4 linked regions of the Caenorhabditis elegans genome follow. The protein of the gene in region 3 interacts with the protein of the main gene of each other region in a pairwise test. Each region holds a gene or a part of one and is shown on either strand. Other genes may lie near its edges. The genes, in order: irx-1, mxl-3, nhr-22 and lsl-1.

Region 1 (9,302 bases), on a different chromosome or scaffold from region 3:
TGATGTATGAGTTGATCGATGTGTTTTGGTACAATGGCAAGAAGGTGTCTCTACCAGCTGTTAGAATAAGAACTGTAATTATAGATATGGCAATGTATTCAAAAACACTCTCGTACTTATATTATGGGTATCATAGAGATTATTGCAACTTTAATAGAGTTGTATACTGGCAGACAATTTTTCTATATCTGCTCTTGGTTAAAACAAAGTAATAATCCGAATGCTCGGTATTCAAGTAGTAAATTCAATATAGAAACTTTTCATTTTCATAAAAAAACGCGATGAAAAGTTTATGATAGCAGGTTTTGCTCTTGATTTTTCTGGATTAACGGTCTTTAAATTTTTTTAGTGACAAAGCTATAAAAAACAACGGCGGCAAAGAAAATCCCTAAAAATTATACCAAATGTTTTTAGCTTGAAGCTTTTAAACTTTTAAAAGGGAAAAGCCTTGCGTGTTTGGATCATTTCAAGTTTCTTCGTTGAAAAATACCCCATTTATGAGTTAGGAAAACCACTATTTTGGAAGTTCTTAAAAATCAACAAATGTTCTTCAATCTCTTGGGTACATTCAACTTCTTCTTCACCGTCGAATTCAACTCTTCTCCCGCTTTTTTCGATTAAACGGAACGCTTAACTTTTCCGTTAATTACCTCCAAGTATTTCCTTTCTGCAACCACTACCGTATTCCATGTATTTAACAAAAAAGTGAGCAGTGTTTTCACAAAAAACAACACCGCTCTCTGGAAAGCACCAAAACCCATTAACTAGTTGCTTCTTCTACTTCAATTCCACAGCTTCATCATCTTCTGGCTCCAGCTCCTCATAAATTGTGCCGCGACCTCATGTCTACACCCTCCTACCTCCCGTGTTCCTCCCCCGGCGATTGACTCCGCCCAATGACTCCTCCTCCATCGCTTTCTCATCATCGTTTGACATCAATCTCCCTACCATACACCTTTTTGTCTTGTTTGGCTCATATGTACCTACATCTTCCTGTATTAGTACAAACTTCCGCCATTGAACTTTTTTTGTTGCAACTTTATGTTACTATATATGTGTTGTTGTTACATGTTGTAATAACTAAATGATCGAATGACCCAAAGAGAGATGTTAACACAATAACTGACACAATAGTAAATGTATTACACCGTGTCCTCTTTTTTTACCTTTTTCTTCTCCATTTTCTTTTTCTTCATCATCGTCATCAGCGCCATCGTTGGCCACTTACTCTCGCCGGCGCCCCCTATCCAGCAGCTACACTTCTTTACACCCCGCTTCGGACAACAAGAGACATGCCATTTTAAACTTCTATTCTCTCAATTCTTGTCCCCCTACAAACCGTTCTGACCATTACCTAATTGCTTCTACGATGTATCATTCTTGACTTAAGTTCACTGATTTCAGCTTCTTCTCCTTTGTCCTTTTTTTGTTCGTGGCGCCATTGTGTGTTCGGGTCATTTGATAGTACTCTCTAGATTTTCCGTCGTTTTACTTTTTAACTTTCAAATGTTTATACTTTTTTTCTCTTCATCCTGCCAATATTTCGGATTAAACTCTATGCAATGATCCTTCCAAAGCTTCCTCTTCCCGTTATTTGCTTCAATTTTCAGTTTCCATTCGTGAGCCAGCCAGCAAATTTACAACTTGTTTGCTCTTCGTCCTTGTGAATACATTTATTGAGATTTTTGGTTCTTGTATTTCTTAATTTTCATTCCCAAACTTGATAATTGGTAGAGGTAGAGAGGTATTAGGTTCGAAAGATTTTTTTTGCACAAAAATAACAATTCTAGAATCAAACTTGGAAATAATAACACTAAACAATGAAATAGTAAGATATCAAAACCATCATCATTCTTACAATCATTAGCTGGAACGGTTAATTGTTTATCTTTCAATCTCTTTTAGTTGCCATATCATCAATTTGTTTTCTTTCCGTTCGATTCTTGTATCCTTCATCATCATCTTCTTCTACTTCTCTTTACTCCGATTCTTTTCCGTTTCTCTTCGTGAATTTCTCCGGTTTATCTTGTTAAATCTACGTGTTCGCACGTGTTTTTTGCGCTTCTTCAATTTCTTTCCCTACTCTCCAGGCCCCGCCCTGTGGCTTCCATGTCTATTGGATGGTGGGCGGGACTTGAGAGAGAGAGAGAGACACACACGGCCCCGGGCGGGCATCTGCAGAAAATCGAGATTGCTCAACAAGTTGTTGAACATAAGGTCCCACATAGTTCTACATCATCTCAATTTCTTCAAGAATTATCAATCAAACCTTTTCTCTTTCTCTTCTATGCTTATCACTGAATCGCTCCTCCTTTGCTCCCTCTTGATTTCGTCGCCTCTCTGCCTCTCTCTCACTCTCTCTGTCTATCTTTTTCAACAAAAAACTGCTCTGGAATTATAACTGATATCAATGTGTTCTTCAGATCATAAATAATCATACTTATCAACTATTGTTTCTGCACTTGTACTGAGATCAACACATCTACTTCTACTACACCATCACAATGATTCCTATTGCCAATCAGGTCAGTTTTTAAGCGATAAGTTTAATAAGCTAAATTATAATTTCTATATTCTCAAGTAGTGTTCTTACATTTATTTATTTCATTTTTGTCCTTCTTGACACTTGGAGTCAACTTCCTGCTCTTTCCAATTGCCATGTTAACCTTGCACCGCCACTGCTTGGCGGTTTATATCTCGGTTGCCTTCAGCTTTATCAAAAAGTGTTATACAACCAAAACATAGAAAATTATTTTGCAAGTAAATTGTCCGTTTGAAGTTTTTTAATAAAACCACAAAGAACTGAGATATAAACTGTCAAAGTGAAGGAAGAGGGGGGTGCAAGTCTAATATAGAAAATTGCAGTTGAGAAGTTGTCAAAGCTTGGACAAGGTTTTCGTTTTCGATTCCTACCAATTTTTACATAAATCTTAGATTAGACAACATTTGAACACAGTCTCAAAATACTTCCTTCCAAAAAATTTAGATGCCAAATGTCAGATTTATTCGTTTGGATACCTTCACTTCACCTGACTAGAAAAGTAAATCCATTTCCAGGTCAAAATGGAAGAGCCCACAACACCACAAACAACGACTCCTGCTCCACCCACTTCAGCTCCGGATGCACTTCGCGGAATTCTGCCACCAAACCTTTTAGGTCAATTTCATTTCCATCCTGCCATGGCTCAAGTTCTCGCTGCTCAAGCTCAAGCCGCCGCCGCCGCTCAACAAGCAACTCTTGCTGGCTTCCCCGGAGTTCCGATGTTTCCACATGGAATTCCAGCAGATCTGAAACCAGAAATGTTATTAGGTGGAGGGCCAGGACCGATGCCCATGTTCTTCAGTGATGCTCATCGTTTATATCATCCATATGGTTTAGATGGAATCAAGAAAAGAAATGCAACACGAGAAGCAACTGCACCACTCAAAGATTGGCTTCATTCTCATAGAAAGAATCCATATCCATCAAAAGCTGATAAAGTTATGTTGGCAGTTGGTACAGGAATGACACTTACACAGGTATGTTGTATTATTTCTTGTTTTGACAACAATTAGTAAATGCAACACTGTGAAATGATTTAATAGCCGTAATAGCCTATTACCAACCGTAATCTCGTAATTTACTCCACAATATTTGCTCAATTTATTAGCTCACACGGGATTTTAGAGCCGCCTCTAGTCATCAATTACAAATACCACAAAAAATATTGTTGTAAAATGTAGTAGACAGTGTTTCCCGCAGTGTTATTGTAACATTAGCCACTCACCGGCCATCAAACCCCGGGGGCAAATGTCTCCTTTTTTGACCGATGCCAAAAAAAGAGGGGCGAGAAACAAAAGATGTACAGAGGCGATAAGCGATGATGATGACACCTCGTACCCCGCTTAATTAATGTGTTTCGAGAGACATTCTTTACACAATACGAGAAATGTTTCAAACCAAATAGGGCTACTACTTGTTTGATTTTGTTGCAATAGACCAACAACACACAACCTTGGCGCCAAAAATTAGATTTTAAAATTGTTTGAACCAAAACTTTGAAGTTATTTTATTAAAATAAACTCTAGCCCGAAAAACAAAGCCGAAGCTTGAAATTTATATTTTTAATTACAGGTCTCGACATGGTTTGCTAACGCCAGAAGACGACTGAAGAAGGAGAACAAGATGACTTGGTCACCACAAAATCGACGAGGCGATGGTTGTGATGACGATGAAGACGACGATGATGATGACATGAACCGTCCATCAAGCTCAACATCCATAAATTCCGAAAGAAAAGGAGAATCCCTATTCGGAAAGCCACATCTAGCATCACCAACGCCTTCGGGAGGATCTGGAGGATCAGATGAGTTGACAACACCGAAGAAAGAACTAGTATCCCCAATTCCAAATGATGATTCTGAAAGTCCGAAGCGTAAACCAAAAATGTGGTCGATTGCCGATGTCACTTCAGATGACGATTCATCAAAGAAGGTGAGAGCAAAAAAGTTTAGATCATAAAATACATTGTACAGATTTTATAGTTTTCCCCATCTTCCCTCTTATTCTAACAGTTTTACGAAATGGACTTAAAAACTATTATATGTTTAGTAGGGGCAAATAAAGAGTCCTCCTCTCCCTTCATCTTGTTCTGCACATTTTATAGAGATGTAAACTAGTATGAATCATTTGTATGTGTGTATGTGCAAACTTGTGAGGTGAGTGTGAAGCAGCCGACAAAACTGTGCCGCTTTAACAACAAACATGATTGAATGATGGTTTTATACATTTTCATAAAGTACATTAAGGAATTGATGGGAGATCAGGGGGTCATATTGTAAAGTTTAGGCATGGGTTACTGTACTTGGAAGATACATTGAAGCATACAGCAGTGCCTTTTGGCAGCTTATATTTTTCATAAAGTTGTTAAAGTGAAGTAATTTAGTTCAAGATGATGAATAATGGTAACCCCTAGCAAACATCTTTTTATTTAGGATTCTCCACCATCATCAGACGAAAATCTATTAACGGGAAGCTTGTTCCAAAACGCAATGAAAAAACAAATGGAAGTAATGGCACGATTGGATCCAACTTTGTTCCGTCACACAATGCACCCATTCATGTTCCAACTTCTAGCCCAACAAGCTGCTCAAGGGCAACAACTTGCACTTTTGGCACCACAAACAACTCCTCCAAATGAAGCAGGTGAGGTGAGCAGGTGAATACACTTTTCTTACATTTTGTTACATGGCAACCTGTCTGCTTTTTCTTATCATTCTTTTTTTGGGTATTCCGAATGATTGACAGCTAGTTGAACACCGTGCGTGCTTGTACATGAACAAGAAAAGTCGAAACGTAATCCTCTTAATTTTAAAGTTGTTATCCTGTCGTGACGCTCAGTTTTTTTGCTATTTAATGCACTAATCATCCCATATTTACTGATAATAGGTGTATGTTTTCTGATACACATTATAAGGGGAAAGTTCAGTAGCTACAGCTTCTAGATAGGCATTAACAAAAGAGGGTCTACACTTAAGTTCTAGATCCTTTTCAAATGTTTTAGCTCAGAAAGAGGAGTTCTTTTCTATGTAATAATTTTGTTCGAAACGTCAAAGGCAACGAAAAAGGGCTTAAACTGAAGTAAGTGTCTCCTCATTGACCCCACGGATTAGTGTGCTCGTTTTTCTAAACCGCGTGTTCTTCGTCACTCAGTTTTTGTCCAAAAAAGGAGCGCTGCTCCCGGAGTCAAGTCACCGAATGATAAATTGCCGATTTGATCCGTTCGTATAGTTGATGGGAAACACTTTCTTATAACTTATTGAACATGTAAAAGCAATTCTAGTTGACCAATATGGGGAAAAACTAGAAAGCCTAGTCTTATTTGAAACGTTGAACTGAAATTTCTCAGAGCATTCCTTCAAATACAAGCATGTCAAGCTGCTCTAAATCCGGATTTTACATTATTTTAGTGATTTTAAGGTTGTTTAGATGCAAAAAACATTCTGAAAGCTTTTTGGAGATTTTAATAATTTTCAAAAAATCAGATCATTTTTCACACAACTCAATCTTAAAACTTTCAAAAACTAAAAATTTCAAAAACTTTTGAAATATAGCTTAATTGACTTGGTGCCTAGGTTTATTGCAATATACAATATTTAAAAAATCTTTGAACAATTTTTAAGCCTTGATTTTAATGAATAAATAATTTCAGGTCTGAACTCTCAAGCGGAGACGTCGACGCCATCTCCAGCATCTTCTCCAACGTCGTCTCCACGGTCCCACCAAGAGTAGAAACCCCAGCTTATTAAGTTTAATTTTTTTAAATGAATATTGTACTCTCTCAAAGTTTCACCTCCTCCACTAAGAACTCTGAAATCGAGAAAATATGATATAAACAGCGGGTCTTTGAATTTCATTTTTTTCTCCATCCCATTTAAGTTTCGATTATTTTGGTCTCTCTCTATGTACAGTACAGTATTGTCTCCCAAATATTCACATCCCATCAAAAATTTCATTCGGTTACTGTAGCACCATATAGGCTTTTTCTTTCTCATTCATTTGCTTTTTTATGTTCTTTTAAACTTTATATGAATTCCATGACTATGAATTTTTTGTCTCTCTTTCTCTATTTTTTCCCCCAATTTCTCCCAGTTTTTTCTCACATTATTAACATTATTATTATTTCAATTCCACACAATTTTTCACAGGATGCATCTAGTTTTTGAGCTTATGATCGGTTTTCTCAATTTCCCGCCAATAATTGGAGTACTTTAGAAACAATTTTCTTTTTTTCTTGCTTTTTCCCACCAATTCGCTTCAAATCTCTTCACGCAAACCCACTTTTCTTACAATCCCATCTCATTTCTTTGACAATTTACAGTTTTTTGTGAGAAAGATACAACAACCTGCACGCATAATTTAGAAAATGAAGAAGGTTTAATATTTATTTCTTGAATATATTTTAAGCTAACAAAAAATCATGAAAATGGATATACATTTAATTGCACAAAATACTGCAACCATTTCAAAGAATTGCAGGCTGAATTAGTGACAACATTTCGGTTATCAAGAACGTGCACTTTTAAAGTAATTTTGAGCATTGCTTCATGTTCAAAAACATAGAATTTTTAAAACACAAATGGTTATAGAAACAAAATTAAAAACGTATAAAACTGGTTGATGATATATTTTTTTTGGTCGACTGTCAAATTATGATTGGTAAAACTAAGTTATCACCACATTTTGGCTGTAAATAAAAATTTCTGAAAAGGTTCACAATGATATTTAGACGTTTTAGCGTTTTTTTTTTAAATTTCCACTTAAAAATTCAATTGAAGTCTTTTTAGTTTATTTTCCCATTACTGTTTTTTGCCGACCTCTTGAAATTTAGGGGATGTGTAAATGTAGACATATGTACATTTTGGAAGCTTTTTTTAAAAAGAAATATCATGATTCTTAAAAAATCTGATAAAATAAATAAATTTCCACTTGATAAAAAAATTCCAGATTATGTATTGTCTTGTTAAATGTTTTGACCTACTATTTACAAAGCGTAGTTTCAAATTAATGTGAAAAATGAATCAGTGAAAACAAAAACAGCAGATTTCATTCATTAGACACACACACACACACCATATCTCTAAAAACAAGGAATTACATGCATTTTCTCTTTATTTTTCCACATCTCGGTGACCCATGTAAACGCCTAATTGAAAATGAGATACGACAACGACGTCTAAACAAACATCGGTGAAGCTTAGAAAACAATGAATTTGTGTTGTCTGGATTCTTGGAAAATTTGGAAATGAGACAAAACCAAATTTGCCACCTTTATATTTAATGTTCCACATTTTAGAACTGTTTCAAAAAATATAATTTTTAATCGTGGATTCTAATTTCAGATAACATAATGCAATAAAGGCAGAATGTGCTTTAAATCGTTTGAAATAATCGCATTATTCCAAAATACAAAAAAAAAAGAAAAAATATTTAGGCACAATACCGGAATCTCATTTTGCATCTTTGAAAATTAAAAAATCTTCTCAAAATGTTTTCAAATCTTTAGTTAACTGTTTTAAACACTTGCTATTATCAATTAAACTTGTAGAAATCAATACCTGAAATACCTGAAAATGTGGTATTTTTCTATGCTGTATTTGCTTTTATCCTTCAACATTTCAAAGTTTCTTTCTTTTTTCCATTATTCATGACTATACAATTTGGAAAAGCATGAGCAAGTGAATTGTCTCTATGGATACATCCTGCGCATTTGAGCACATAAAATATTTTTCAAGAAATCCTTTCACCATTCTTTCTTTTTCATTATTTGTTCAAAAACATCTCAAAAATGTCAAACGTTGACCGATATGTAAGTTACCCGCTTAATTTAATTTTTACTAATTTTAAATTTTCAGGATGTTCACCGGGATGGTATTGAGAAAGATCGAAAAAGGTCTCGAAGCCGAAAACCTCATCAAAATGGTCAAAGCCAGTCAACTATGGATAACCGTCCTCCATGGAATAATGGTAATCAATGCATTATAATGGGATTTTATTTATTTATATAACTCCCGAAATTTGTAAATAGCAAATATAAAAAAAATTGTTTTATTTCTAGTTCATATTTCAATTACCTTTCAAGTATTATTATTCACACATTGTCAACAGTCTTCAAAAGTGCTCAAAATACCTCAAAAAGTCACAATTTGTAAAATGTTTTTTTTTTTTTTTTTTTTTTTTTTTTTAAATTTACCAAAACTTGGGCTAAAATTTTGAAATCTTGAAAAATGTTTTGGAGTCTTCAATTATGATATATGTGGATGTTTCTGACAAGAAGAATAAGTTAATTTGATGTTCAATTCCGCAACTACCTAAATATTTTTTAATATTCAAGAAAGTTTTAGTTGCTTATTTCGTACTGACAAACTTTCCAATTTTTTCAGATACATACATCGAAGGATATGATGATGTTGATGAGCATGGAAAGTTCAGAAAACGAGGAGGTGGAATGCCAAAGACTATTGACAGACAGGTAATGTTTGGGATAGGAATAACTGATATATTCAAACAAAAAAAATTAAAAATTTTAATGATTCAGTGTTACGAGCAAATTTGACTACAAATTGGGCCTTTGACTGTGTTCAAAACGAATTTAAGAATTGGCCAAGTATGAGTTGCATGAATGGCTTGTGCCAAATGTCGACAACCCGTTGCAAAGATTTGGTTTTCAATTGAGTCACATACGAGTTTCAGCAAAATTCGAGCTTGATCATCGGTTTCTAGAATACTTATAGTTCCACTGCAGACTAAGCAAATTGGAATG
Region 2 (6,178 bases), on a different chromosome or scaffold from region 3:
TAAATTACAGTAAAACTGCAAAAATGTTTTTTTTTTCTAATTTTTAGAGATTATCAAATTTTGTCTATAAAATTTTTACTATCCAGGCTACAACAACATTGAAATATACCCGTTGAATTATTTTTATTAGCACGGCCCCCAATATCCAATTGCACTATGATGAATCAGTTGAAACAAGTAGGGAAAAACATAATTCTGAATACAGTTGATTATTGACTGCAAAACCGGCTAGACAATTCCATCAACATATTTGTTTTAATCATATTTTTTAGGGACCTCAACTAATTACGAAGGCTACTGATAGCAAATCGTGGAGAGTGAATGTTTAATTTATGAAATTTTTTCATTCAAATAAAGTTGTAACCGTGTTTTTCCACATTGTGTTAGCATATTATACACAATTTTTAAAGCTAAGATTGAATTTCATGCACTTTCTTTTTGACATAGACATTTTAAAAGATAATTTCTCATAATATTAATAATCAGTCATGCTTCCCCACAGGTGCAAATCATTTTGACCCCGTCAGTCTCTTGAGCGACTACGATATAGGCGCGCTCTTTCTATTTGCCACTACCGCGTTGATACACAATGTAGTCACACTTACTCACGTCGCAACGAGGAGGACCGATCGCGAATTGTTCTCTGTTCACTCGAATTAGTTATACGAGTTTCATCTCTTCCTTTCAATTCACTCTCCTCTTTCAATTGGGTTCATTGCTGAGTGTTTTGTGATTTTTCGATGAACACGCGTACCGCACGTGAAGTGTTGATCATGCGGAGAAATGTCAACTGTACGTTTCTTAAAAGATACTCTATTTTCACTAATGTGCACTGATCAGAAGCAGGAAAGTAGTAGAATCGACGTAGCAAGTCAAGGTGTATTCGGGGATCAACGAAACAACTGGACCAATATATGCTCTTTGATCACGTTGGGATCGAAATTGAAAGAGAATGAATTTTACATCCACCCTCATTTAATCTGTTGAGGGTGTGGATTAGTGTAAATTCCAAGCAATCAGATGACTGCCAAATAGGGGATAAGTTGGCTTAAAAATTAAGAAAAGCTTAGAAAACCACTTTCAAATAGATTAATATATTAACTTAATTGGTATAAAAATGCAATTTCTTTGCGCTCTAAAGTTTGGCGAAAAAACAAATCTTTGATTCATAGCCTTTAATAAATAAGTTTTCAGATTGCATTGAAACAATTAGAATCACATGGTTTAGACACAATTCAAAAATCCAGTCAAGATTGATTCATCCGCACTATAAAATAAAATATTTATAATCATTCACGAGCTTTGCCATAAAATATCTGTATCTAGAGTAGCAGTACTGAAATTGCAAATGGTGGCAAAACTAAGAGTATCCATATGTGTATTTGATTAACTTGTGGTACAATGCATAATTAGCAATGGTTTTGCTTGATTGTAGCGGTTAAATGCCGGTTTCACGAAACCTAAATGTGGTTAATCCAAGGTATATTCAAATATTAAACTTTTGTATTTTTTATTCCGTGTTTACCCGATTACATTCATTTTAGATTTGATTCATTCTCTCGATTCAAGAAAAAAAAACAAAGAAAAACAAGGATTTCTAAAAGAAAACCCAGCTCTATTTGAAATCTTTTTCCCAAATTCCTGGTAATGTACAGCACGGCGGTTTTATCTTTCCAGAGCTACTCCCTCGAAGAAATCTGAGTTGATCCAGAGAGATTAGTGGTTAACGTTTAGATAACACACTTGATCGAACAAGCCGCCACCACGCTGTTTTTCGGATTATTGATATATAGTTGTGATTTTCAACAGATTAGCAAAGGATTTTGTAAAGCTTATCGTCAGCGTGCTTTTTTCTTTTAATTTTTTGCACGAGCAAGACACCCACCCTCGCTTTGTGCAAATGACCCTAGTTCATTTGAACTATAATATTATTGAAATTTCCAATCAAAGTCCATATCACTAAATTCTGTAGATACTGTACAACATCCGAATTGTGAAATCTGATCGTTCTTGGCGCGAAATCATATTCACCCCCTACGTTAGCCCAAAGTACGATCACATTTCTATCGCAGTCGTCTAAAATCAAAATCAATTCAGGGTTCATTAAGTGAGCGTCGCATGACCTACGTGATAGAGCAATTAAACTGAAAAACCCAAACGTTCGATGTCTAAAAATATCATTCCAGAGAAATGAAATACATTTTCAGTAGACCTATGTGCTAGAAAATGTGGAAAAAATTATCATACCACCACCATGACTATTGACAGTGAAAAAAGAGATTTTAAAACTGCAAAAAAGTTTTAAAAATTTAGTTATTAAAGAATTGAATCTGACATTACTCCAAGTCTTACAGAGTTATGTAGCGTTATGTAGGGCGAAAATTTGAAATGATCTGTTGTTATAATTGTAGTGAAACATATATTTTGATGTTCTTCTTTCTTAGTATGATAATCTGCGATTTTTTGTAGGAACGAATTTATTTTTGGTTGAAAGTCAACGACTACAAGGAATTCGAATATATGTTGGCCGTTAATACATTTTTATTTTAGAGGAAGTTTGCCTTTTGACTCAAATTTTTTTCTGTAAAACAACAACACATGTTTAATTTGTTTACAACGTTTAGCTACAGTCCCCTAGGCCACACACTGCTGAAAGAAAAAAAAACAAAAGTAACTAACAAGTTTGGGGTCATAGTACACCAAGTTGTTTGTTTGCAAAGTTTTTTGCCTGAGTCTGTTCACTCCTAGAGGTGTACGGTACTGTTGACACCACCATACATCATTCGGAAGTAATTTGACCTACATTTTGAGCTCACTCAATGTTATCAGAGGTCTTTGTGCGTTGCACACATCACGATGCACGCACACTAAGTCAAGGCAGCCAAGGAAACAAAGTTTCGGGTATTTTTTGTCGTCAAGAAATGAACACGGCACGTGAAGGCGCATGTGAATGAGAGGATGCGTTGCACCCGACCGTCACCATCGAAATTAAAATTGAGCTACGCATTCTTTGAGTGTTTGCACTTTTTGACATCCCCGTGTTGCCATATTTGTGCTTCTCCCAATCAAATTGCTTCTTTGCTGACATCCTCAGAATTTCTTCCAAAACATTTGTTCCTTGTACCCTCTCAAGGAATGCTTCATCTTGATCCTTCCCACAAACGCATGCTACCCTTACGAGATCCCCGCAAGATTCACATGATTTCAGTGATCGGTTGACAAAATGGGGGAAGGCTATAACCTTCTGCTCCAAAACATGGGCGGAGCTACAGAGCTTATATCAAAGAGCGCCACTTCTCCGGGCACCCTAGCACCCACAGTGGCTGAGGTGCAAAGAACACACGCTGACCGCGTGTTGGAGGCGGCGCGTCGACTCCTCCCTTTCTGTCAGACAGAACGCCCCTTTTCCTATATCTTCCTTCTCGCATTGCAGATCATACCACAGTTAACGACACCCTCGAAGATGGTCGCATGGCTCTTTTACATATTTTTTGTTTAATTGTGTATTTGTTTTTGTTTGTGATAATTTTCACTTACAGTATTCTTATATAACCTTCTCTTAAAATTGATATTTCATTGCTATATATATTAAATTTACAGTCAACATCTCTACCATGTCCGCAATCGTTGAAGACATGTACTTGCTTTCTTCATCCATGAAAATGGAAAAACAATTCCGCAAACGCCATCACTCGGATTCTTCCGATGTAAGTTAAACTTCTGTTGTACCCTTATTTTACTAATTGTTCTTTTTCCAGGACGATTCTTCAAGCCCGAAGTCGGCTTCTCCATCCATGGATGATGACCGTCGTGCACATCACAACGAACTTGAACGCAGAAGACGTGACCATATCAAAGATCACTTCACCATTCTTAAGGATGCCATTCCACTGCTTGATGGGGAGAAATCGTCGCGAGCCCTGATCCTGAAACGAGCAGTTGAGTTCATCCATGTCATGCAAACTAAGCTCAGTAGTCAAGGAAAAGCCATTGAAGATCTCACAAGGAAAAACGAGCTTCTTGAGGAAAGGCGTAAGTTACATGGATATCTAGTGGATTCATGAGCTCAATTTCTAATTTTCAGTGCTCGAACGCGAGTCTTCCGGTTCTCCATCTTCCTCTCGGCTTCCAGCTCTTGCTGTTAGCTCAAGCCAAATGCAGCTCACCATGCCAATTATCCCACAGATGCAAAACATTGCACAGCTGTCTCAATACCCACAACAAGCAAAGTAAGTAAACAAATAAATTGTTCCGAATCTGATTTTAACAATTAAGTATTTTCAGTATAATTGCTCAATCCACAAACCCAGCTCAATTAGATGGGCTTATTGCTCTTAACAATGATGCCATCTTGGCTTTACTCGGAAGCTTTCAAAGCGTGAGCCCATCGCTTTTGGATTCTGCACCTGGTACTCCACCTTCTGGCTTTTATCCTTGTGCATTTTCTCCGGTTGATCAACAAATGGCAGTGAAAATCTAAAAACCTTCAAAAAGGCTTTTTTATTTCTTAGATACCCCCACCCTTCGAATTCTCTAATATTTTTTGATCTCATTTACTCGGTCGTCATGAACCCTTCTTCGGACATTCCAAACATCCATTCGGTTTCTCCGGACATACATGGGTTTCACGTGTACTTTAAGAATTGCCTGCTTGATCTGACAATATATTATTTCAGTTTTTTTTACTCACTGATTTGTTCCAGTTATGATATCTTATTTATTGATAATGCCGATAATAAATACTGATAATAAATATTTATATCAACATTTTTTCAACACCAGTAAAACACATTGCAAAAAATTAAAATTTATAAAGGCACCCAATAGAAAGTCTTTCAGCTACCGTAGTTCTTTGCTGCAAAGTAAACAGGTTGTTACTTTTCTTGTCAACTTTATTTAATGGTCAATATACGCGTCAGTAGTCGTATACTTTAAGGATTTTTACAGAAAAAATATTTATGTCTATTCCTCTGGACTTTTGCATGGGGAAAAGATTTGGATTTTAGTAGTGGTCATTTTTATAGAATTGAAATGATGAAAACAATGCTTTTTACCACTTACAAATTAGAGTAACTATTTTCCATTATACATAACAGAGATCTGCGACAAATTTGCCGAAATTGCCCAGCAAGAGAAATTTCCAAAAAGTGGGTTTGCCAAATCTGCCGAGATCGGTAAACTTTGAAATTTGCCACACACATCACAAATTCGACTAACATAATTTGACCGGAACCATTGATTTTGCTCCAAAACTTCTAGTTAAGTAACATGTAAGCAAGACTTGTACGCAGATAGACCACACGGATCTTGTGAAAAAATCAAAAGTATGCTTAGAATTCACCATTTTTGGTGCCCCATACAATATCAAAAATTATCACATTTTTTCGAGCTTTTCCGGCAAATTTGCCGAATTTGCCGAGTTTGGCATATACTAGAAAAAAGAGCTCGGCAAATTTTCATTTTTGCCGCACACCCCTGGTAGATCTAAAAAAATCTGAATACACATAGCACTACATTGAAAGCCAAAAATCTTTGGAATAGGTTTGCTGTTTTGAAATAGGTCGTTTATTGCACTTTGCTCCTGCAATTCTAAACAAGCATGCTCTAAAACATGATATCAACTCAAAAAGTACACGGTACAGTGCTCTAACGTTTTGTTGTAGTCAAATCATATTTCATCACGTATCCAAAAAAAACCGCTCTATTCCACTTTTCTTTCTTTATAATGTGTGTTCTCTGAGGCCATTTCGTAAAACAATATGCGAGGCATATCATCACACGTGTCATCAAATGACTTGATGATATGATTGGTTCAAAATATCAAATGCGAGAATCGCATCGTAAGCCAACGGAAAAATAGTTGTTTCAATTCAAAACACACTTGAGAGAACGAGGACAGTTCACTGAACAACTCAACATTGAACCTTCAAGGAGGAATATCGAAGATCGCTGGGAGTTTGTCAATGAAATATGACGAATATGTTGTGATACAGATTTATCAAGTTTTGCAGTTGTTCTTATTTTCAAGAAAAAAAGCCTTCTGAGAAATTATATAAAATTTACGTTTTATGAGGACCGAATTGTTCGGGGAGAATCAAAAACTTTAGCATCTTTCCCAGGGTGCGCGGCAATAAGACATTTTTGGCAGATGGACATTTTGTCAATTCCTAAAATTAAC
Region 3 (8,785 bases):
AAAAGTAACAATACCGTGTGGGAAGATGCTGAAGGATCTGGAATTGAGATTTCTGAAGGTTCACCTGCACATGCGGAAGCTCAACATATGACTTCATCTGAAGGACCAAGAACAACAAAAAGAGAGATAAAACGAAGAGATGCAACGGATGTTGATGTGTCATCAGATATCACAATTTTGGATAGTGCATTTGGTAAGACTTTGGTACTTGTATATATTTTATGCGTTATAGCTAGAATGATCTAGTTAGTTCAAAAATGTCCACAAGGCATGCTGCGTCTTTTGTGAAAGGTAGCCTGCGTCCAGTGTAATGTAAGGATCGTGATTTGTTGATCGAAATACGAGTAGGTCGCTTTCAAGATAGGTAACACGTTCCTTATAGCCACAGAGAGTTTCCAGAACAGTTTTCATACTCGAAATTTATTAGAAACATGAAGATACATCAAAGTTTTTAGCTGCTGATTTACCATCACCACAAGAACAACAATCATCATCACAAGAAGAAGTCCCAATGAAAGCAGTCTGCTTACCATATGCAGTTTTATGGCTTCTTCTCGGAGTCATTCTCTTTGCAGTCTCAATCACATTTGGAGCACTTTGCTATACAGCAAAAAAGAACCCACGGTTTCAAGTTCTTCCATAACTTTCTATAAGATCTTTCATTTCTAGACTTCTTTCAATTTCCATAATCCTCAGAAGACCTTTCCGTTGCGTGTAAATGTTTCCCCAAAATCCCTTCTTCAAATGCTTTATTCTGTTCTCATTTCATCAGCCTTACATATTTTCCTGCCAAAATGGGTTGTTTTCGAATAATTTTCCTATTAATTATAACAACTATTCCATCTTTTTGTTTTTGATTTGTGATTTCTGAATGATATGTTATCTCCGTGCCAATTTCAGCGTTTAAAGTTGAAAAATGAATGTCGAATTGTTTTTTTTTAATATATAAATAGAATCTTATTATTTGTAATTTTACCGTGATAGTTCATATAAGCTCTACGTGTTCATATTTCAAAAATAAAACAAAAACCACGTAAAACAAAAAAGAAAGATCATTTTTGAGTTTCCCAGCATGCTAAAAGTTATCGTCTTTGTTTTATGTAGTTTGTGAGTTTATAAATTTCTTATCTGTTTCCAGGAGCACAGGCAAATCTCATACCTGCCTGCCTCTGTCTCTCTCGTGGCTGATGTCATTTTGAATTTTGCGCGGTGTAGATTTACAAACGTCTCACTAAAGTTTTTATTGCTGAAAGTTTGTTTTTACATGTACTTTAGCAGTAGGCACGCGGGTAGACCGACTGGAAGTCAGATGCAACCATTTCACGTCCTGCGTGGATATCTCAGAAATAGTAAAAATTTCAGATCCTTATCCTCGGGATCTTCGAACCAGTGCATTAACAATCAAAATGGAAATAACCAGTGCACGTCTGACATATGCTTTTCTCATTTCCATGCCACATCAGAAGGAGATATTGAAAGATTTGATTGTTCTCAAAAACCTTCAAAACTTTCAACACTTTCTTGTGCTGTTTTGCTTAACAAAACTGACGAGTCATCAGTTTGCCTGGGTGATGGTAAATTTGAAATAAATTATATTATTTTCAACATTCCATTTCCAGCAAGAGATACCCATTGTTGCTGTACTTCATCAAGTTCACCCAAAATATGTGCTCCGGAGAAGCGAAAAATGGCCGAGTTGACACAATTATGGACAATGTCCCAAGTTTGGTGGCTAGTCTTTGGTCATGTTGGGCTCTCGTGTGTGGTTCTTCTGCTAGTCACATTCTATATGAAATCAGTGAAATATTTACCGAAATATAATATTGTGATACCAGAGGAGAGTAGAATGACGACTATTTTATGGGCAAAGGTTGGGATTTAATGTATAGTTTATTCCAGAAAACATTTATTCAGTCACTATTCCTCCTTCTATCATTGGTAACCATATACTTTCCATTTCGAAAAGTTTGCATGAAACATCCAAAAGGAGTTTTCACAACACCACGGCACTTCTTGTATCAGGTAAAACGCCAGTAATCACAGGCCAACCAAATTAATTTAGATTTTCGATGCTGGAATCGGTCCATCTTTATATTTCTCATTTCCCTTGATATTCTTCATTTTCGATTTTTCTTTATTCATTTATGTTGTAAGTTTTTTAATTCTAGTCCATTCCATATCTTTTAATTTTCAGAAAGATCGAAAGTATATCAACAAGTTTGGTGCACTCTTCCTTGCTATTTTCAAGCTGATTACAGTCCCAATATTTGTTTATGAATGCTTTCTTTCTACAGTTTGTCTCTGGCACAAAGATCATGAACCTGGCTATTGTAGACTAAATGGAGCAATTTGGCAGTTTATGGTATTCCGATAGCCTTATTCCAACATTGAACGAAACTTCTGATTCAGCTGTCACACTTCTTCATTTTGGTTTATCATATGTTGCTTGTCATCCAAACATACCTGCTCAGTAAATTGAAGCCTAATATTGATCCAATTCCACGAATCAGCGAGGAGACCCCAAGCCAGGTGGCTCCAACTATTCTGAGTACTCAATCTGGTGAGACGAGAATCGAGAGCGAGTTTAATGAAATGACATATATCCATCCGAGAGTGAGAATGATTAAAGTGAAATATATTGCAACATTATTTTATTTTCAGCCATTCCATGTCCCACGGCTTGGATTGTCTATATTGAATGTGAAGAACAATAGGAACAATGATTGGTTGGCGTTGAGGTCTGCAGCGAAAATTATTCTGGTTATTTTAAATACAGTTCATTTTTTGTAGAGCTCTGTTGTCAACCACTGGCTTCTACAAGTTGTATCCATCGAAGTTTTTGATTCCTCCCGGCAAAGAAATTTCGGTGAAAACTACATCTAGAGCTACCAAAAACAGTCGAAATTTCAGATAGAAGTCGAGCAATGTACTAGAGCTGAATCTCCAACGTTGAATCACAATATTCTTATTGAATGGTGAATTCATAGTTCTCAATAATCTCTAATCCATTCTATTTCAGGTTTCCTCTTGACTCGACTCCACCAACGGGTGACTTGCAACGTCTTTGGAGCAAACCATATTTGGTTCCACAATCGCATTGGCAATATTTCGTTCTTCCGGTTTATGTGGATGATTCGGTGACTTCTTATAGCCCTAGTCATGTGTCAAGTGTTGAATAAATTTTTTAATTATTAAATGTATATCAATACAACTGAAATGAGTTCAATTTTACACATGTTTTGAAAGATCTGAATTGAGAGTTTGAACGAATATGGCAAAAAAAGAAAATCACAGAATATAAACAAAATGTCACAATTTTAAATACAAAAGCTACGCGATAAAGCTATGTAAGTTAATAGTCGTTAAAAGTCAGATGAATGAAGTAGAACCTTCACGATGGTTGTTTCAGTCGTCTCTGAAATAATTTGATAACATTTAAACTTTGAAATTATTAGAATTTTGTTACCTGAAAGATAGTAAGTCGTACATTATACTATCACAGGATACAACATCAAAGAAAGTCATTACAAGGTAAGAGTTTGTCATTGCTTGTACTTGCTCCTGAAACTCATTTAATTTTTCATAACAAATTGATGATGGAACCAACCGTTATATAGCTCATGCTCAGAAGAAGCTGACCAACTCGAATAGCTGGATCCTCATCACCTCGTTCTTCAACTACTTTATGCAAGGCTTGAACTATTGTGTCTCGTTGCCGTGCACAAATTGCTCGTCCCTCCTCTAGTAACCGATAGTTACCTGAAACGAGAATTTTAAAACTTTACTGTAGATATTATTTACTTACTGATTTGCCAAATTATGAGAGCTTTCAGAAGTACGTATTCTTCAAATGAGACTTCTAGTCGAGCGAACGGAATTGCCAGATCGAAATATTGTTTTAGCTTCAGTGGCATTAGGGTTCTGCAAGATAACAATTTACTGAGATTTAAAAAAGTTTAGCAAACTCACTTGTACTTTTCATGTTCTTGCGGGGTTTGAAACTCTGTTCCCGCGCCTGGCTCATCTCCACTTATTGGAATCGGATTCATATTGATATAGTCACCATTGAAAAGTATTAGACGTTCTTTTTCTATTCCAACTCTGTAGAAAAACTGACTGAATCTAATTTTTGAACATTAAATACTCACTTATAGCTATAATAGGCAGATGCAAGCATTGAATCTACGGCGCAAGCCATTCGATAGACCACATTTTTGTCATTTTTGTGTAAAGCTTGAAACTCCGGAAATTGATTCACGTAATCAAGAATCATAACAAAGTCGTGCTTTACAAATCCGCAAAATGATTTATAGTTGAAAGGTTTCAGCTGATGATTTTCGTAGGGCTGAAAGAGAATATTGTGAGAAATGGATATGGTGCATTGAAAACTCACACATTCACAAGTTGTATCGAAAACATCTCTTATCTGAGTATCCGTGTACATTATTTTCCTTCGATCATTCAATGAAGCTTCTGTTCTTACATAATGATCAACTAATTCGAAAATTTTATTTTCAACTTCAACGACTGGGTAGAACTGTACATGTTGAATAAATCCTGCATGGCTGGTGCTTGCCTGGTGTATATCGAATGGAGGAGAATTGGAAAGCACACGTTGACAGTGCATACGGTCACCAGTTGCTGGAGTAAGAAGTATGGATGGAGTTGAACGGTGCAGTGGTGGAGGTGTTACTGTCATATCAAGTGGTTGAGAAGATGAAGGATCCGGTGAAAGGTATGACTCAGGAATCGTCATTTCATTAATCCCTGATTCCATTTTCGGGCTCGAATCTGAAACAACAAATGGTATTATTAAAGTATCGTCAGTCGGGATAGATACACTTATAATACTCTAACATAACCGAATCTCATAAAAACTTTCCAAAAAGATTAAGAGTTTAAAAAACCTCAGTTTTGGTGAATTGCCAAATTTTCAAAAAATTGTAGAAATTGTTACAAGTTGGAACCCTGGAATTTTTCCAATTAAAACAATTAAAACGCTGTAAAAAAAAGGACTTGTAGATAAATATTTTTTTTGGTCAACTTCCAAAAACTGTGATAGATGAAAACTGAGTTTTGCCCACTTTTGACGGTAACTAAAAAATTTAAAAAATTTTTTGAAACGTTAAACTGTTATACTTAGGAATTTTATTACCATAGGAGAGGGTTTAAAAAATTTCCCAGTCGAGGGCTTCAAAAATATTTTCGAAATAAATTAGAAACTAACCTTGAACATTTGTATATGTATTTACATACTCATCATACGAAGATTCAACATCGTCATCTTCCTTTTTCGATACAACCAATCCCTTGGAACGTCGTTTTGCAACTCTCGTCTCTTCTTTTCTCGCTTGCACCACTGCAAAACAACAAATTACTGTTTTTTGTACCTCGGACTTTTTGGCCAATTGAACATGTGACAAATGACCTTGTCAATGATCACTCACGTTCTCTGCGCATTCCGGCATCTAAACATTTGATGAACCGACAGTGACGGCATATCATTCTGAGCTCGTAATGGGTTCTACACGGATTTGTGTCATCTCCAGTGCCAATGCATTCGTAAGTCATTGACATTGAAACACTTCTTCGGAAAAATGCTGCACATGCCTGAAAATATGCTCATTTATTAAATTTATTCCAATTAAATTGTGAGAAACATGTTTCCGGAGGTATTAGTGATGCAAATTGTACTTTTCATTTTCTCTTTATTTAAACATAAAGCATGCAAAGTGTGATGTACGTTATCAACAACTTTTTCTATTTGTTCGTGGTTTTCAGTAAGATTATCATACAAAACTTGGTCAAAAGGAGCTAGTTTCTAAACAGGAACTGTACTGTGGTGTGTTCAAACATCCGATCAGATGAAGATCTTCTATTGTCATTCTAGCTACACTTAAGACTACAAAAACAAATAGTGTGAGACACATACCACAAATGGCCACAAAAATAAGTGATGTTTCGTCGAAATACGCAGACGGAAAAAGAAAATACCTGACTACAATACACTTCTAGATAACACAGGATAACAATAAAAACACGTGGCGAGCATGTTACAAATTTTGGCACATTTTCAAAGCATAGTTATATTATTACGCCTTAAAATACTTTAGGACCTTTTTTCACAATTATCACTAATGAAACCAACGGTTTATCGGTGTTTTTAGAACAAAAATTCAAGTCTAGAAATGTTGATTTTACGAGTTTGAATGATAAAAAATATGATAAAAGTTTGAAATTACAGTACTCTTCAAAGACGCACAACGTTTCGAATTTAACAAAAATATGTTGCGCTGAGGCAGGATACCGTGGGCCTGGGTAATAATGTCCGATGCAAATTCAATTGTTATCCAGAAAACAAAAAATGTATATTGTACAACAACAACGAAAGTACAACACTTGTAAAAACAAAAAATGTTCATTTTTTCGGAGTAGTGCTAATTAATAATTGATACGAGAAATATTTTTTTCTTGATCATATTGCTTACCTTACAAGAACGACCTCCAAAATGTAGAGTATTGGCAGTGGGAGATGAACAGACATGACAACTTCGACTGTCAGTTAATGGAGATGGCATTCCACGTGGAGATGTTGAAGCTTTATTTACAATCTCTGGGAGATGATTCGATTCCGGTGGAGGTGATGAAGATCCCTCTTTCCAAATGCAGAAGTCAATATCGAATGATGGTTGGAATCCAAGATCGTAAGATGGAGATGATCCTAACGAATCACCAACGTCCAGAGACTCAGGAGATGGTGGTACGTCTTCAAAAGTATTTTTGAATAAATCGGTAGGTGGATAGAAATATTCATAGAGAAGGTCCGTAGACATATTTGATTAAAGTGAAAATGAATGGAGGTGTGCGGCAATGGTAGAGAGTAAGAAAAAGAGAAGAGAGAGGTTAGAGAGAGAAAGGACCGAACAAGGTTAGTACTGATAAGAACAGAATTGGGGGAAAATGAAGAAGAGAGAAAGGTGGGAAGAGGCTAATTGGAGGAGATGAGAAATTGGCTGGACAAAGGGGAGAAGATATTAATATATGGATTTATTTATTTGTTACGGCAAGAGATAGAAAATTGATTCATTAATTTTAAAGAAATGTGAGTTTTAAATTTGCAATTCACTGAATTAATATTTTCAAATATATGTATGAATAAAAAGTCTGTGGTTTGAAAATAATGCAAAACTATTTTCAATTAAATTTCGCCTATTTATAGTCACTGGAACGGAAACTTCATTCTGTCTAATCGAAAACGTGATGGGAAAATTTCAAATTATCACATTGAACTTATGGTTTTTCAAAAAATTTAAATACTCAAGTTTTGAATATTTCACACAAATATATATAAAAATAATAGAGAGAATAAAGATTTACGTTCGTTATAGAATTAGAGAGAAACGTGCGAGAACAAGAGATCGCCGACAGTGGCAGAGATTGCGGAAAAGGTGGATGTAAGAGAATTAGAGATAAAAGAAAATGTAAGTATATTAATACGAAAGAAAAAACAACTAAGCTGTCTGCGACTCATTGAGAGTACTAATCTTTTGAACCCTGGAAGATATGTAAAATACTGCTTCAGAAAACTGGCCGAATTGTTTTCAGAAATTGACATCTTTTCACAAGTTTATATGAAAATATTTTCCTGGCAATGCAGAATAATCAGAAATCATTAATATTTGAAATATACTTTTTTTAATAAACTTTTTTCAAATTCAGATCGAAAGGAGCAAATTTTTTTCAATGACGAAGAATTAGGACTATTCATCGGCAAAAAATATCATCATGCTGCGGGAACAGAAATTATTAATTTCCTGTATTCTTGTCATCATTTTGAACTGATTTTCATAGGTTAGCATCAGAAACTATAGAAAATTTAAGAAAACTCGAATGTTTCCAAACGACTGTCAGTCAGCCAACCAGGTGAAATGATAAGAAAATGTGCATTTTATGTTCATAGAATACAAGGGATAGGTGGTGATAACACAGAATTTGTAATATTCAGGCATTTTTTGAGGATTACCGGTTTAAATTAAAATGTATAAATATCATACAATTTTTTTCTATTTCAAACGAATGTTCATAATGAAAAATCTGAAAGAAAACATGAAAAACGCGGGTAAAACTATTTTTTTAAAAATGGATATGCACATTTATAACACAGATGATGATTCTGTACAATTATATTCAATTTCATACATTGAAGATCATCTCCAGAGTGTACAAGTCTTCTGACGATCACAAGCTAGAAGACCTCGGCCTGACGGATTCCATGCCAGAGACATTATTTGAGCCGAACTGAAAAAAAAACATTTTTGAGAGCAGAATTGGGGCATTGTACTCTGGAAGCGGATTTAATTTCCCAAGTTTTCGATTTTCATTCAAAATTACGGTATCTCGAAACGATAATTTTTTATTAAATACATATTCATCTTTTAAGAGTACTGTAACTTTAAACGCTTGTTGCTGCCATATTTTTTTACATTTTTTCAAAGTTTTTATTTAAGTGTAGTTTTATCGAAAGATTTAGAAATTAAAATTCCGCAGTACTCTTTAAAGGCGCACGCCTTTTCGCAATTAACTGAAATATATCGTGTCGAGGGCAGGTGCTGTACCTTTGGAACTAAAATCGCTAACTTTTGCGTCTGGCTAATGATGGTAACAAAAATTCTATATTCTATAATATCACATTTTTGATTAATTCTAACAAAAAATTTTGAAACATTTTTGAAACACTTTTTTGTAATATCGTTTCTTAATTTCACTCACTCTGATCTCGCAGTTT
Region 4 (6,548 bases), on a different chromosome or scaffold from region 3:
TACTCCTCTCAAATCTGTGTGCTCTCTCGGGCAGCACCAGCAGCCCGGTGGTCATCATCAATCAAGCATCGTGGAGCGAAGAGAGAGAGAGACCGTATTAAGAAGTGGCAGATGTCGCCAGATTGCACCGTTTGCACCAAAAATGACAGTAGTTGAGAGTTTGCCAGTTACTTTTCGGTCATTGACCTTTCTTAGAAATACTCAATCAAGTGAATTGGACAATATGTTAGGGGGAAACGGTCCTTACAATTAGTTTATTTATTGTTCACTCGACCTTTTTTTTGCTAAAGAATATTGAAATGGAAGAGGAAATTGAAAAATGAAACTTGCAAATAATATTCCGATGTGTACTTAAGGCTATTTTCTGAAATTGATGCAATTTTAACGCTAAAACTTGCAAGAAACATTGGAAACTACTTATATATTACGAGATTACAACATTCTGAGCCGCGCAACATATCTCGTAGCGAAAACTGCAGTAATTCTTAAAATGACTACTGTAGCTCTTGTGTCGATTTACGGGCTCGATTTTTTGAATTATTTTTTTTTCGAATATTGAAAGAAAAATCGAGCCCGGAAATCGACATAAGAGCTACAGTAGTCATTTAAAGAATTACTGTAGTTTTCACTACGAAATATTTTGCACGTCAAACATGTTTTCTCAGAATATTGTGCTCCCGTAATAGTTAAATCGCTCGTAAATCCACAAAGCAAATGCTGGCCTAGTTTTCTCCTCTTTCTCTTCCATTTCAAATTCAAAAAACTCCCCGCTTTCTAGTTTTCAAAACACCTTCAAATCCGTCAAACATATAATCTTAAAGTATCAATATGCACCACCTCAACTCGTTTACCTCTTTAATGAGCCACCTGCACTGCTTTTCGTCTGCGTCTCTCACTTCTTCATACTTTTTTTTCCCGGCTTTCTCCGAAAACATCTGCTCTTTCTCTGTGTGTTCCCGATTCCCTCAAATCTTTTTTTGTTCCCCCGCGAGAGGGATATTCAAAACGTGTGTCTCATAAATGTAATTTATATTCTAGAATCTGAAATTGGTTGTTTTTCCAAATTAAAAGAAGTATCATTGATATCCCCAACCCTGTGTATTAAATGTCTTAAAATCAGAAATCATCTTCTCTCATTATCACAGCTTTACCATTCAAACATTCCCCCAAATTGTCTTTTTCTTCACCTTGTCCTGCTTTGGTTGTGCTTTAATTGTGAATTTCCCAACTCCTTTATGCTTCTTTTTTACTTCCTTCCTTAAAAAACTTTGCCATCATCCAACGTTTGTTGTATTTTGTCTTCCATTCATATTTTCAAAATGAAAACTTCATAAAAATGAAAGGAACAAGTGCAACAGAACAAAACAATTACACGGGCGTTAGAAAGACAGGGATGTGGGGAAAATTCAGGGGAAAAACTATGCTGATGGTTTTAGAATGTTCATCTCATTTTCAGTGTTAGTGATCATACTGTAGCAGATTTGAGAGATATCGACTTCTGGAGAGCCCTGAAACAAAATAATACAATTAAGAATTAGCAATATTTAACAACTCACCATTTCAAGTTCATTATTACGAATCATCAATTGAACACGAGAATGATAGCTTTGGTGTTGACGATACATATCTACGTCGGCGAATACTCTCATGCATTTCTGAAAATAAAGTTTACAGGATATTCAAGATTTAATTTTCAATTATTTACCGTGCAATAATTTGGTTCTTCAGCTTCTTTCTTATCATGAGAAGCATACATATGCAGTTGACAATCCTCTCTTCCACTACATTCGCACTTGCAAATTGGGCATCGAAAGCTGTAATTTTCAGATTTTGCATGGGATATTAGTAAGACAATAATTATAATAATTTGCGGTAAAAATACAAACGCTGGTCTTTTCACGTCTTCTTTTTTTGTAAAATACAAAAGGGCGTGCGCCTTTAAAGAGTACTGTAATTTCAAATTGAATTGAAACTTACATCTCAAACTCGAGTGGTTTAGCTTGTTCTAGAACATCGGATGCCATGTGACAGTTAGTCAATCGCATTGTAGCTCTCATGATTTTATCGTCAAATGAAGATAGTGGGATAAGCTGGTTTCGGCAGATCATATCAACCCATTTTGAAGGATCTTTACCCAATAAAAGTTTCGGAACCGATCGCTTCTTCTCTGGATTGTAATAGGGCATCGATGTCCCACGAATGACTAGAGCATCGGACGGAATAATTCCAGACGAACGCCGATTGCTGAAATCATTTTTAAGACGAGATAGATATCAGAATTCCCCTCGTACAACACATATAATTCGTGGTTCGTGTATTATACGGTGGACGTACAATAAATGTATTATTCACATAATATAATGGACGAAGTTCTTAAAATTCGTGCAATGCAATGTGAATAACATATTTATTGTACGTCCAATGTATAATATACGTACCACGAACTATTTGTGAAGGTGAAGGGTCGACCGATTGCCAACCTCGAATATGGTCTATAAGCAGCTTCCAACTCTTCTTTGCTTGTCACATGAGTTCGCATGTGCTTTTTCATGTTTCCTTTCAATCGGAACTGTTTTCCACAAAATGGACACACATAAGGGGTATAGCCGGTGTGAACGGTACGATGCTCGAACATATTCGATTTGTATCGGAATCCTCGGCCACAAACATCGCAGATGTATGGTTTGGTGTCGGTATGAATCACAGAGTGCTGTTGGAGACCTGAAATGTTTTTTTTTATTTCAGCTTTCTATTTTTATGCGAATAACCTTTATAATTCATAAACATTTTATTACACACATTACACTGATGAACAGCAAACGGGGCGACTTCTTCTTGTTGATAGGTTCCGAACTAGAAACATTTCAATAATCTTAAAAATAAGAATCGAAATAAAATACCGTTATAGAAGCTTCGTAGTCCTCGCCGTCGTAAGATGGATCCGTTCGGTCATCAATAATTGACATCTGAAGTAAAAAATAAAATTTTTTGAAGAAAAAATGCAGACAATTTGTTGGTTTAAACATAAAATTAAGACAAACAAAACTCATAAATTAATTGACAGCTTCTCTAAATTTTAGGATTACCGTGTTTGACAGTTTCGTGGTGAGACCCAAAAGTTTCGTTGCGTCATGCGCCTTTGAGCACAGTGTCCCCAACAAAGAATTGTTTCTGCAATTTCGAATTAAGCTGAAAACATTATTTATATATTTAACAAAATTAGTTTAGAACAGAAGAACAGAAAATTAGAACATTTTCGATCTTTGTATTTTTTATACAAATATAATTTGAATAAATTTCCATACTTCTTCCCCGTTGTGTAATTTCTTTACTTTTCAGAACTTAAAACATTCAATTATTCTTTATTTTGAATTTTCTGTAAAACCTGCGCAATTGAATTTTATGTATTTATCAAAACAATTTTCAGCCATGCTACAGTAACTTCTTTAAAATCATCATTCTTCCTTGTCTAAATCGGAAATCTGTCTGTGTCCCGTTGGTCTATTTTGTTATTCGTCTGCAGTTTCTTCTACTTGTGCACTATATCGTTTCCACTGAGCGAGAGAAAGAGTATACACACACAACACATGCCAGTTCCTGTCCTTTGCCGCCCATCACCATTTTTTTCACCGTTTCGGCTCTGAAATGGACAATTCGTCACAGAGCAAACCGTCTAGTAGTTCGTCCAGTCATTCGCCAAGTCCTGCCGCAATTGTAAGTTTAATGGATTTTGAGTAAAGAAAAATAACGTTTTCTTGTAAAAACAGTATTGTATTTAATTTTTAAAAAAATCAGTTGAAGACGTATAAAGCCTGCTTTTACCAAAACTATCAATAAAAATCACTGAAAACTCAATAAATTAATAAATTCAGACACCAACACAACGAACAACACGAGATTCCGGATTGTGCTCAACAATTGATATTCCCGAAATTCAAGCACAATGTATTGATAATTTAAATAGTCATTATCTCGGAAAAGGCACTTATGGATTGGTTGAGAAAACAAGATATAGAAAAACTAGGCAGGATGACTTTAGGTTCGTTTCTAGCTTCAAAAATTTAAATTTAATTCTTTTAAAGCATGAGGAATTATCAAAAGTTAACAAAAAATCAATAAAATCACCAAAATATTATTTTCAGGCCAGCAGCAATCAAATATTCTTCTCAACTTCATATGGCAACTCTTATAAGAGAAGCAAAAGTTATGTGGGATCTCAGAAATCATCCTAATATTATAAAGTATGTTTTTATAAATGGAAAATACTGAAAATAGAAGTTTTTCAGAATTTATGGACTGTACAAAAGCCCTCGGAATGGGCAAGGAGTCGTTATGGAATATATGGATTGTGGAAGCATGGCCGATTGTGAGATTTTCATTTAAATTTAGTGAAAATCCCCGATTTCGCCAAATTTTTTAACATTTTGTCGGTTTATTCCGTGTTTCTTAGCGAATTAAACTACATTTTTTCGGCAATAGGAACAGAAATTTCTATCAGCTAAAAATATATTAAAATACATCAAAAAAGCGGATTATACTGCAAAATATGGAAGAAACTGAATAAAAATCAATATATGGACGCTGTAACACGAAAAATCTGGCAAAAAAAATTTCACTATAATTTTGAACAAAAAAAATGCTATTTGGTTTTTTTTTTCCATTTTTAGTCTTAAAAAAATCGCTTTAAATTCTCCAAACCCTGTTTTTTACGAAATTAAAAATTCATTTCAATGAGGCAATTCTCCAAAATAAAATTTAGCTGAAAAATCTATTTTTTTTTCAGTACTCTACGACAGAACACACATTAATTATACAATTGATCATGTGGCTTCATGGATGTTTCAACTATCATCCGCCGTCGATTTTTTCCATTCCAACAGCCAAGTTCACAGAGATTTGAAACTTCAAAAGTGAGTTTTTGATAGCAGAAATTATTGAAAGAAATATATATGTTGGATGTGAAGATGTTTTCAGTGATTTTTGAAAATTAACAGAAAAATATTGAAATTTTTTTCTTTACTATTAGCTAATATATTAGGTAAATTTTTTAAAAGTTGAAAGAATTAATGGCGGAGATCCTGTCAATTTAACAATTTAGATTTTAGAAAAATTCAACAAAATCTTTTGAAATTTTAAGTGAATTTAGTACAGAAAAGCAGAAATGTTTCGAATCCATTTTTAGACATTCGAAAAATTAATTTTAAAGGGTTCTACATTTTTGTGTGAGCTATTTTTTTTATTTTTTTAAGCAAAAAGTTCCTTGAAAATTGGTCCACAAAATAATGTGTAAAATCTAAAAAAAATCATTTTTAAAAAATAATATTTCAAAGTGGATTTAAAAATATCCTCCAAGAAGAACTAATCATATGAAAATAATTTTAAAAAGCCATTTTAAAAGTAAAAATGAGGAATTTCTTAATTTTTGTAGCTTTTCAAATTTCAATAAATTATCAGAAATCTTTAGCGGTCAGTTTTCAAAATTAAAATTAAATCACCTACTGTGGTCAATCAAAATAATTTCAGCATGCTTCTCTCTGATCGATATCGAACAATGAAATTATGTGATTTTGGAACATTTACCTCAATGCATCAATCAATGACTTCAAATCGTGGAACTCCAATCACAATGGCTCCAGAAGTATTTCGATGTGAACAGTATAATATGAAATCTGACATCTACAGTATTGGAATTATAATGTGGCAAATTATTGCTAGAAATCATCCGTATCGAAGAGATCTCTCAGTTCCTGGACTTTTATATAATGTTGCGACAGCTAACTTACGTCCACAAGAACTCGAATGTAATCCTATTTTGTCTGAATTTTATAAGAAATGTTGGAATGATAATGCTGATATTCGACCGACTTCTTCCGAATGTGTAGAATATTTTACTCTTCTAAAAGATGTAAGTTCTTTTAAAAAATTAAAAATTAAATACTCAACCAGTTAAAAACAATTTTTTTGAATTGAACAAATATTTCTAAAAATACAAAATTAAAATTTTTGGACAATCTCGAAAGAAGGTGCTGCAAAGCAAATTAAATTTTTTGTTTTCGAATTTTTTATTGCGAAGAAATTAAAGTATTTATTGAATTTATTTTAAAGTTTTTAAATTTTAAAAATTGTGTTATTCCAACACAATTTTTAATTTTATCTGAGAATTACTGTATTCGTGATAAGACCTGCTTTTCTATGAAACATATGAATCTCGCCAAACTCCAAAAAAACTAATTTTTTTTGCATTAAAGGAATATCCGAATGGGAGCGTACCTTTATCGGATTCTTCAACAAATGGACCAGCAGAAACTCCTCCACCACATGCTCATCGACCAACAATGCTTGGAACTTCTTCTGGAAGTGGAATAGGATCAAATAATCGAACACCAACTGCTTCAAAACTTTTAAATCCTCAACAACCTGGACAGGGTCATAGAAGAAATCGTAGTGAGACTTTTGTAGTGCAACCGGTAAGATTTTCATTTGGATAGCTTGAAAAACAGAAAATTGAAATTTTAGGATCTACCGTATCCAACGGTTCCGGGTGAAGC

The links.
Region 1: the proteins of nhr-22 (region 3) and irx-1 interact in a two-hybrid assay, tested with the Caenorhabditis elegans proteins (one large-scale study listed by BioGRID).
Region 2: the proteins of nhr-22 (region 3) and mxl-3 interact in a two-hybrid assay, tested with the Caenorhabditis elegans proteins (one large-scale study listed by BioGRID).
Region 4: the proteins of nhr-22 (region 3) and lsl-1 interact in a two-hybrid assay, tested with the Caenorhabditis elegans proteins (one large-scale study listed by BioGRID).

Annotation. Positions count from the first base shown.
Region 1 is NC_003279.8:9,534,088-9,543,389, reverse strand, and holds irx-1 (Putative iroquois-class homeodomain protein irx-1), read left to right. Parts: upstream 1-2,423; 5' UTR 2,424-2,504; coding exon 2,505-2,525; intron 2,526-3,057; coding exon 3,058-3,519; intron 3,520-3,719; exon of another isoform or gene 3,720-3,859; intron 3,860-4,114; coding exon 4,115-4,474; intron 4,475-4,974; coding exon 4,975-5,185; intron 5,186-6,191; coding exon 6,192-6,271; 3' UTR 6,272-6,925; downstream 6,926-9,302. Other genes in the region: C41G7.15 (Saposin B-type domain-containing protein), read right to left, coding at 9,080-9,302; C41G7.7 (uncharacterized protein), read left to right, coding at 8,328-8,348, 8,395-8,506, 8,923-9,011.
Region 2 is NC_003284.9:13,348,227-13,354,404, reverse strand, and holds mxl-3 (Protein mxl-3), read left to right. Parts: upstream 1-3,600; 5' UTR 3,601-3,614; coding exon 3,615-3,707; intron 3,708-3,758; coding exon 3,759-4,032; intron 4,033-4,084; coding exon 4,085-4,229; intron 4,230-4,284; coding exon 4,285-4,480; 3' UTR 4,481-4,766; downstream 4,767-6,178. UniProt on the Caenorhabditis elegans protein: Transcription factor which regulates the expression of genes involved in lipid metabolism in response to nutrient availability. Binds to the E-box motif 5'-CACGTG-3'.
Region 3 is NC_003280.10:6,442,956-6,451,740, forward strand, and holds nhr-22 (Nuclear hormone receptor family member nhr-22), read right to left. Parts: upstream 6,838-8,785; 5' UTR 6,834-6,837; coding exon 6,489-6,833; intron 5,611-6,488; coding exon 5,448-5,610; intron 5,360-5,447; coding exon 5,228-5,359; intron 4,792-5,227; coding exon 4,394-4,791; intron 4,346-4,393; coding exon 4,149-4,345; intron 4,102-4,148; coding exon 3,970-4,101; intron 3,922-3,969; coding exon 3,806-3,921; intron 3,760-3,805; coding exon 3,608-3,759; intron 3,562-3,607; coding exon 3,467-3,561; intron 3,416-3,466; coding exon 3,406-3,415; 3' UTR 3,240-3,405; downstream 1-3,239. Other genes in the region: cutl-16 (ZP domain-containing protein), read left to right, coding at 1-193, 456-643; K06A1.2 (uncharacterized protein), read left to right, coding at 1,073-1,107, 1,363-1,574, 1,620-1,870, 1,915-2,022, 2,063-2,149, 2,195-2,362, 2,410-2,613, 2,662-2,738 and 3 more; atg-16.2 (Autophagic-related protein 16.2), read right to left, coding at 8,208-8,298, 8,770-8,785. UniProt on the Caenorhabditis elegans protein: Orphan nuclear receptor.
Region 4 is NC_003279.8:9,897,697-9,904,244, reverse strand, and holds lsl-1 (C2H2-type domain-containing protein), read right to left. Parts: upstream 2,967-6,548; coding exon 2,901-2,966; intron 2,854-2,900; coding exon 2,769-2,853; intron 2,722-2,768; coding exon 2,481-2,721; intron 2,245-2,480; coding exon 1,978-2,244; intron 1,815-1,977; coding exon 1,706-1,814; intron 1,656-1,705; coding exon 1,557-1,655; intron 1,509-1,556; coding exon 1,419-1,508; 3' UTR 1,316-1,418; downstream 1-1,315. Other genes in the region: Mitogen-activated protein kinase kinase kinase mom-4, read left to right, coding at 3,646-3,714, 3,873-4,039, 4,143-4,241, 4,287-4,366, 4,784-4,910, 5,524-5,905, 6,249-6,467, 6,517-6,548.